Canis lupus familiaris: one gene and its partner. The protein of the gene in region 2 binds, or shares a complex with, the protein of the main gene of each other region. Links are inferred from orthologs where the notes say so. Each region holds a gene or a part of one and is shown on either strand. Other genes may lie near its edges. The genes, in order: ACVRL1 and BMP10.

Region 1 (4,273 bases), on a different chromosome or scaffold from region 2:
AAGCCTACAGTGAGCAGATGATTTCTGTCTTCACATCCACACAAACCCGCATCGGGCACCCGGTGATGACAGCAGCTGTGTGCAATCTGTTACTGTCCACAAAACCCACTTGCTCTTTTTCCTCCTTTGAGGGACTCACTGAGCACCAAAGAGTTGGAGGAATAAGTATTCAAGTGAGGATTTATTACCAGCAATTTAAGTTGATCGGGACACATGTGGCGATTACAGGCAAGAAAATTAACATCCCGGGCCTCAGTTTCCCCCACTGGATTGTTGGAAGGATTAATGAGATTAACCATCAAGACTGAGTCCTTAGCACATAAGTAGTATTCAGAGAAGGTTAAATTCTTTTTCTTTTTAAATATTTAATTTATTTATTCATAAGAGATACAGAGAGAGAGAGGCAGAGACACAGGTGGGGGAGAAGCAGGCTCCATGCAGGGAGCTGGACGTGGGACTCAATCCCAGGACCCCAGGATCACGACCTGAGCCAAAGGCAGATGCTCAACCACTGAGCCCGCCAGGCGCCCCCAGAGAAGGTTAATTCTTATTATTAAAGATTTCACAGTAGTAAGTTAACATTTGAAATTCCGTTTGGCATTTGTGATTTCTGGCCAAGGACAGTGATGCTTCTTTTTTTTTCAAAGATTTTATTTATTATTTATGCATGATAGACATAGAGAGAGAGAGAGAGAGAGAGAGGCAGAGACACAGGCAGAGGGAGAAGCAGGCTCCATGCTGGGAGCCCGATGCGGGACTCGATCCCGGGACCCCAGGATCACACTCTGGGCCAAGGGCAGGCACTGAACCACTGAGCCACCCAGGGATCCTGGCAGTGAGGCTTCTGTCAGCAGGAGATCTTTCAGGAAGTTTTGCTTAGAAGTGAAGGGATGCCACCCAGGCCTCTGTGCTGGAGTCGGGTGTCTGGGCGAATCATTCAGGGACGCTCTGAGTTTGGACTAGTCAGGACTCAGCAGCCTCCTGTACTTGACTTTGTGCTGGGCCCGTTTAAAAGCTGGAGAGTCACAATTTTCCTCCCATTTTCCCAAGATTAGACCAGAGTCGGATTCTGCAAATCCTGTCTGGCCTCCCAGCGTGGTGGCCCAGTCTAGGGAAGCTTGAGAGCAAAGCCGTCACACCGGCCCCCCTGCAGGGTCTCCAGGTCCCTGGCTTCCAGGTTTAGCCCGTCTGTCCCTTCTCTGCCCACGGAGGTGGGGTGTTGGGGGGGGTGCAGAGGTGCCCAGGTAGGAGGGAGAGTCTCTGCCCTCTGCTCCCCTCACCCAACAGGTCCCTGCACATTTCACTGGACCAGACTTAGCACCGTGTAGGACACATTTCTCAAGCGGTGGGACCCTTGCAAACTGATGAGAATTACCTGGAGAACTTTTTAAAAGGCATGATTCTTGCTGGTCCCAGGTGGACTGAAATGAGAATTTGGAAGGAGGGGTGAGACCAAAGAATGTGCATGTTTAACCAAGTGCTTCAGGGGCTCCTGATGCATTATGAAGTAGGTAAGAGGGTACACTGGGGTACGGTCGGAGAGGTGGAAGCGTGGGTAGAGGATCTGAAAAGGATGCCCGCTTCCATCCTTACTGTTAGCCACCCTTTCCTTCCTGCCCCGTGCTTTCTCCTGGCTTCCACAGATGGCTTCCCGCCTACCCCCGGGGGCAAATCCGCCTTGCCTGGGGCTCCTTCCCCAGCCACCCGCCCCCCTGCTAAGTGTCTGCGGAGTACTCACCGCCTGCCTGCCGGGAGGGGCAAGAGGCAGGAGGTCAAGCAGAGGCTGGGGACACAGCTGCAGCAGCCCAGGGCTCCGTTTCCTCCCCCGGCCCTGGGCCTCTGGGGCAGAGGAAGCCCAGGCAGGAAGGCCAGAGCTGCCACCAGCCAGGGAGGCCCGTGAACGCCACCCCCCAACAACCATCCTGCCCTCAGAGCCGCAGCCCCGTGGATCTCCATTTGGTACCATTCTTAGACTGTGGGTCTGCTGCAGCGCCGGGGCCGCCAGCCAGCCCTCCTGGGCTCACGGTTAGGCCAGAAGACGCTCCCCCTCCCTCACGAGAGCCGCCCCTGCCTGGGGATCGGGGCCCAGGGACACACCTGCACGCTCCCCACCATTCAGAAAGTCCTTGCTGCAGCATCAGACCTTATCTTCTTGTTTGAAACCTTTGAGAAATGAAGAAGGATGTGGCTTCTGGAGCACTAGCCGGCTTGGGACCTGGGTTGGGGACTATCACAGATCAGAATTACTTCCCTAACACTCTCCGCCAAACTTCTGGAAAAGTTCAACCTTAGCCAGCCATGGAAGGTCAAACAGTGTTTAATTCTCTTTCAGTTCCCCTCCCGCATCCCCGGCCCTCCCCCAGCCCTTCCCAGGTCAGCAAGGAGGGAGAAGGAAGGGGGCCGGGAATGGCTGGCAGGGGGCCTCTTGCACTCTGCTGAGGCCTAGAGGGGTCTCCTCATGCCTGGCACGAGCCAGCGCTGTTCAGGGTTTGTATGGTCGTTACAACCTGAGGGCTCAGACCCAGTGCTCCCGGGATTGGGGGGCAGACTGGAGAAAGCCCTGGCCTGGCAGTCGGGACACCTGGGGCGTACTCCTGGTACTGCCACCGAATCCTGTCTGACCTCAGACGAGTCTCCTGCCCTGTCTAAGCCTTGATCTCCATCTTCTCTAGAATAAGGGGTTGGCCTTTGTGGTTCCCAAGGTGTCCCCCTAGAATTCTCTCATGGGGTGTCGCAGCCCCAGGTGGCTCCCCCAGAGCCTGCAGCGCCCCTGCCTGCCCTGAGAGTACACGCTGAGCTCTCTGCTGTGCGTGACTCCTGCCCGTTCTATCCGGACCCCGATCTAAACAATCTTGATTCCTGTTCCCAGCTTGGCGGGACCCTGAATGGCAGGAAGTGAAGACAGGAGCCTGTTTATGTTTGAGGCAGCCAGTGCTAGGGGTGGGGGGACTGGGGGAGGGGGCGCGGGGAGGGGGGTGGGCAAGAGCCGGAGGACACAGGGTGCGGGGGGACTGCTGAAGACAAGTGCCTTCCACCCCGGCCCGTGCCCTCTGTGTCCTCCAGTCTGAACCCAGGAGCAGGGGTAAATAGCTGGGAGTCCCCCAAGCTCTCTGTCACTCAAACATGGCTCCCCCACCCTTTACCCCTTACAGGATGGTTTCCATGGGGAAGTGAACCAGGACTTCCCCTGCAGGCCCCGCCCCAAAGCCAGACACAGGGAGTAGGGAGGAGGCCTCCCTGCCCCCCCCCCAAAACTCCCAGTGATTTCCTCTGGGTGGGAGGAACCCACAGTCGGTGGCTAAAAACACCAAGGGGAACACATTTCACGGATCTTACGGTAACCCCCTCTCCTCTCCAGGGACCATGACCTTGGACCTGCCCAGGAGAGGCCTTCTGATGCTACTGATGGCCTGGGGCCTGACCCAGGGTAAGTACTAGGGAAGCAGGTGGGGGACACGGACCTGGATGGAGGAAGGGCTGGCTGGGGTCAGCTCTTGCTGGGGCTGAATTTGAGGAGCTGGGGAGGTACTCAGGAGCTTGGCTGGAGAGTGGGAGGCAGGCTCAGCTGCCCCAGCCCTCAATGTTCTGATCTGAACCCACAGACTGGTGCCCTACTGGCCTCCAGGGTAGGAACCTGTATCTGGGGGGTGCAGAGAATGGGGATGTTGGCAGGGAGGGCCTAGGAGAGCCCTCAGGGTTGGGGCAGGGGCCAGGGCCGGGCCTAGAACCAGGAGGGAAGGTCCTCGGATCTGGGACAGGACGAAGCCTGGTTCTCATCATCGTATCAGAGGCTAAGGTTCTGGAAGGAAGGATCATCCGAGGCTGGGACTAAAGGCCCACGGCCTCAGGGGTATGTTTGAGAGGTCAGAGGGAAGGGCAATGGGTCAGACATCGGTGTTGGGCCCCGCCCAGGAGTTCGGCCCACAGCGCTGAGCTTCCAGTGTGTCTCCCAGGCAACCCGGTGAAGCCCTCTCGGGGCCCGCTGCTGACCTGCACGTGTGAGAGCCCACACTGCAGGGGGCCTACCTGCCAGGGGACCTGGTGCACGGTGGTGCTGGTGCGGGAGGAGGGCCGACACCCCCAGGAGCATCGGGGCTGCGGGAACCTGAACGAGGAGCTGTGCCGGGGGCGCCCCACCGAGTTCGTGAACCACTACTGCTGCTACAGCCCCCTCTGCAACCACAACGTGTCCCTGGTGCTGGAGGGTACGTGCAAGTCCCCGCAGGCCCTCCCCATCTTCTCAGACCCTTCCTCCCTGCCCTGCTTCCACCTT
Region 2 (4,355 bases):
TCAATTGCACTTCAGTAAAGCTGTGGAAAAAATAGGCTCACTGGGCACGTGCAAGTATACAAAGTAGTAGACAGAGGGGCGCCCGGGTGGCTCAGCGGTTCAGCACCTGCCTTCACGTCAGGGCGTGACCCCGGGGTCCTGGGATCGAGTCCCCATCGGGCTCCCCGCATGGAGCTTTCTCCTATCTCCGCCTGTGTCTCTCCCTCTCTCTGTCTCTGGGTCTCTCATGAATAAATAAATAAAATCCTCAAAAACAAACAAAAAACAAAGCACTGGATGGAGGTGTCGCATTCTAGGCAGGGGAACGGATGTTAGTTGAACATATTTAAACGTGCCAGTGTTTTGCAAGCCCTGTTTTATTTAGATCCTACAATGACCATTCATTTCCGTCGTGTTCATTTTTACACCAGAAGAAATGGGGGTCAGTGCCGAGGACCGACTTCCCCAAGATGGCAAAGCGAGGGCAGCCGTAGGAGGAATTCAACTCGTGCTTTTTCTACCTTAGAAATGCACTTGTTTCCCCCTGACTAGTTACATTTGGGGAAGGTTTTTTTTTTTTTCTGGTTTGGCTTTGGGGGTGGGGCCGGGCGGGGCCGGTCTTTGTCTCCCAGGCAGCTGCACTGTGCAGACCCAAAGGGGCCAAAAGTGAGACCGTAAGAGCCACCGGGGCCACCGCCCAGGGCGGAATCCGCTCCTGCTTCCGCTGCTCTCCAGGAGTAAGACGCTCCGGAAACTGCACTGCCTGACCTCGGGCACGAAACCCTCCCCCGGAGATGCGGAACCTGAAAAACTCCTGTTGTCTCAGGGCGTGCGAACGTTGTCCCACCCGCACCCTGAGCCGGGCCCCCGGCGCGGGGCTCAGAAACGCCAGGAGGGCTCCTGTGGAGGCAGGCCACTCCTCTCCAGCGCAGGCTCACCCCCAAGAGGAATCTGCAATCTCACTCTTGCCATTTCCATTACGTGGCTAAAGGTTATTAGGAAACGTCCCCAACGCGTCACTGACTATCTACCATTGGGCCAGTTATCTAAATTGTCAAGGCAAACGGTGTCTCCGAGACTGAGCCATCCCCACTGCACATGTCCTCCGACGCCTAGAACTGAGGGAATTCCTGAGTAATATCTAACGTGTGTCCCCGGTTCACAGCAAATGCAGTGCTTTCCTACCCATACCCTCTTGGAGATCGCTCAGCTGTGTTACGTGCGCTTATTACCCCCAACTCACGGATGAGAAAACTGAGGTTCAGAGAAACCAAGCTAAAATATCCACAACTGCTGAATCAAGCCTGTCTCAAAATTCCAAACCCTAAGCCATTTCTTTGCTAGCACCTTTCTGCTTTTAGGAACTGCTGATCAACATCAACCCAAACCCTCTTTTGTATGTGGTCAATGACAATGGTAAATATTAAAGAATTCACTTCTTTGGACCCAGATCTTTTACCACGCACACTAGGGGAAAAAAAAATGTATTTTTGCCTACTGGCACCGTATTAGATAAAGGATTAACTTGCTACATCAGGCCGTTTAGTCACTGAATAAAAGCTGGCGGAGGGGGGCTAACCTGGTTTTCCTGCTGATATTTAAGGCTTGCACATTGCTATTCATGAAGACTGAAGTAAGGGGCATCATTAACTGGGCCGTGCAAACTTCCTGGACATTATAAACAGCGATTCAAGGATGTCCACGTCACACAACACAACAAAACTTTAGGGAGAACCTCTGAAATAGAAGTTTTCATCCTGTCTGAATACTTCTTAAATAAGGTCAGAAAATGGAAATACAATCAAAGCTTGAGTGAGGCACAAGTCTGGACTTTTTAGTTTTCACCTATTTTCACTCTAAGGAGAAGCTGACAATCTTTCGGCCAATTAAAAGACAAACCTGGAAAATGCCGGACAAAGGTAGAGTAGTACAGCAGCACTAATTTTTTGCATTTCTTGCTGTTCAAATTTAAAAATTTTAAAGGCCCGGTTATGAGGTCAGGATGGTAGATGCTTTACAGCTTTTGGTTAAAAGACATTCTTTGGTACCTTTTTAAAATTTTTTTAAAGATTTTATTTATTTATTTATGAGAGACACAGAGAGAGAGGCAGAGACACAGGCAGAGGGAGAAGCAGGCTCCACGCAGGGAGCCCGACGTGGGACTCGATCCTGGGACTCCGGGATCACGCCCTGGGCCGAAGGCAGCGCTAAACCGCTGAGCCACCCGGGCTGCCCTCTTGGGTACCTTTTAATAACATTTGGGAAACGACCATGAAAACGGTATAAAACATTTGGGAAACGACCATGAAAACGGTATAAAAACAAAAGATGCGTTGTTTTAGAGCATCTTTGTATGCACAGCCCCACACAGATGCACTCACCCTTAGCTGTATTACTCCCACAAATTGTGAATTTACTTAACGCTGCTCTCGGGGAAGAAAAAAAAAAATTCCGAGCCCAATTCCATCAATAACAGGTAAACTTACCTTCGTTCTTGAAACTCCTAATGATGTTGGCCGAGGGCATGGAGGTCCGATCCGTCGCAAATTTGTTGTAGAGTTCCAGCATGTACTCCGGTGGGTCCACCTTGGCTGAGTCCTGGGGAGGGATGTCGGATAAGTTCAGCGTCTTGAGAAACTCATTCTTCATGGTCTGCAGCAACGTGTTGAAGTCGACACTGTCTTGCTCCGAGAAGACATCGTCAAAGAGGGGCATGTCTTCTTCCAGAGGCGACTGCTCCAGGCTCATGATGGGGCTGCCAGAAACCGAGTGAGCCACCAGGCCGAAGACCGCGCACAGCTGCAGGGCCAGAGAACCCATGACTGTGCTCGAGCCCCCAGGCCAGCCCAGGAAGATTTAGCTCTCCTGGGCTCTAAGTGGCAGTTTTATCTGATGGAGCGTTAATGTCTCGTGTCACTGGAGACAAGTTTGGAAACTCTTCCCCTCTCTCTCCCTCCCCCTACCTCCCTTCCTCTCCACACTCCCCCCCCCCACCGCCCGCCCCACCAAAAGTCAGGTTGCCGTAATTGGATAACAAAATCCCCTATAGGGGCCTAGCCTTTCTTATCTCTCTAGTGTAAACTTGTGCACCAGATTTTGTTTCTATCTTGCGATCCTTTTTTCTTTTAATGAGCATTTTATAAACATGTCCACATTCTGACACTGGCTAAGAGATAGGACAATTTTCTCCTTGTGGAAGCTCTGCTTCTCTTCCTTTCAATTCACTTCCTTTTGGCAGGAATGCCTAAGTTCTGCTTTTATGTGGTTTGCTTTCACACATGCATGGAAGAGATACCGAGAACCAGCGCGATCCACGTCAACGGCACCACGGATTAGTTCAAGTGATGGGGCTTCCAGCTTCACGTCAACGTTTCTGAAGAAAGGCCGAGTATCCCACATCTCCGCGTTAGTCTAAATGAATTCACACAGATTTCTAGAAGTTTACATTTTTAGAAACAAGGAAGTATAAACCTCGTGGTCGAGGGCCTTTTTCATAACAGATTTGATCTGGCTTAAGTGGCTTTTGAAAAATAGGGTGAGTGTTTAATTATAATAGCAACTACAATCTATCAGGTGCTTTCCTATAAACAGGCATTGTGCCGAGTGCCTTACGTACATCACCACGTGTGCGCCCCCTCACAGCCCTGTTATCATGCCCACGGCACGGACGGGTCACTAAGATCCCATAACTTGCCGGAGGCCACCGAGCTACAAGGCGACAGAGTCAGGATTTGAACCTGGGCGTTCCGACTCCTGCGAAAAGGGAAGAACAATCAGACTTCGAAACCGGCGCTCCCCAAGCCTGGAGCCAGGACAGAGGGGCAGGAAGGCCGGGTCCCCGCCTCACCCCCAAACCCCACCCCCCCACCCCTGTGCATGCAGCCAGGAGGCAGCCACCTGCACTGCATGGGGAGCTCGCTGCATCCCAGAGCCGTGAATTACTAGGGTGGCAACGTCCCTGCCAAATCCACCTTCAGGGCCACATCCAAGCTGTCGGTGGCTCCAAGTAAAAGTCGAGCAAACAACATCCCCGGCAGATGAAAAATGCCAGGTGGCTTCGTCTGAGGAAACCGCGGTACAATCGGCTGTGCACCTGGTTTAGCAAAAGACCCATCAGGCCCATCTCGATTTCTACCCCGGGCGGTGGGGCACGGCGGGCAGGTGAGGGCGGGCAGGTGAGCATGGGCAGGTGAGGGTGGACAGGTGAGCGCGGGCAGGTGAAGGTGGACAGGTGAGGGCGGGCAGGTGAGTGCGGGCTGCGGCTGCTGCCAGGGATGCTCACACCCCCCGACCCTGCCAGGGCACTTCTTGCAGGTGGCAGGTGCCCGGCCCGGTGCTCAGAAGCGGCCCGAGGGCTCGGCACCCTGTAGTGCCCT

Evidence for each region.
Region 1: the proteins of BMP10 (region 2) and ACVRL1 are in contact, whole or in part, in a crystal structure (PDB 6SF1), measured with the Homo sapiens proteins. The link is inferred for Canis lupus familiaris from reciprocal best matches to the Homo sapiens genes BMP10 and ACVRL1. Residues at the interface, in NP_055297.1 of Homo sapiens: Tyr322, Asn357, Tyr358, Pro359, Ala361, Glu362, His363, Pro366, Thr367, Lys368, Ile371, Leu375, Leu378, Lys379, Ser381, Lys386; in NP_000011.2 of Homo sapiens: His40, Val54, Val56, Arg57, Glu58, Glu59, His66, Gly70, Asn71, Leu72, His73, Glu75, Leu76, Phe84, Val85, His87.

What each region holds. Positions count from the first base shown.
Region 1 is NC_049248.1:43,566,882-43,571,154, forward strand, and holds the start of ACVRL1 (serine/threonine-protein kinase receptor R3), read left to right. Parts: upstream 1-1,312; 5' UTR 1,313-1,459; coding exon 1,460-1,511; intron 1,512-2,963; exon of another isoform or gene 2,964-3,358; coding exon 3,359-3,427; exon of another isoform or gene 3,428-3,953; coding exon 3,954-4,205; exon of another isoform or gene 4,206-4,273. UniProt on the Homo sapiens protein: Type I receptor for TGF-beta family ligands BMP9/GDF2 and BMP10 and important regulator of normal blood vessel development. On ligand binding, forms a receptor complex consisting of two type II and two type I transmembrane serine/threonine kinases.
Region 2 is NC_049231.1:69,022,272-69,026,626, forward strand, and holds the start of BMP10 (bone morphogenetic protein 10), read right to left. Parts: upstream 2,901-4,355; 5' UTR 2,800-2,900; coding exon 2,466-2,799; intron 1-2,465. UniProt on the Homo sapiens protein: Required for maintaining the proliferative activity of embryonic cardiomyocytes by preventing premature activation of the negative cell cycle regulator CDKN1C/p57KIP and maintaining the required expression levels of cardiogenic factors such as MEF2C and NKX2-5.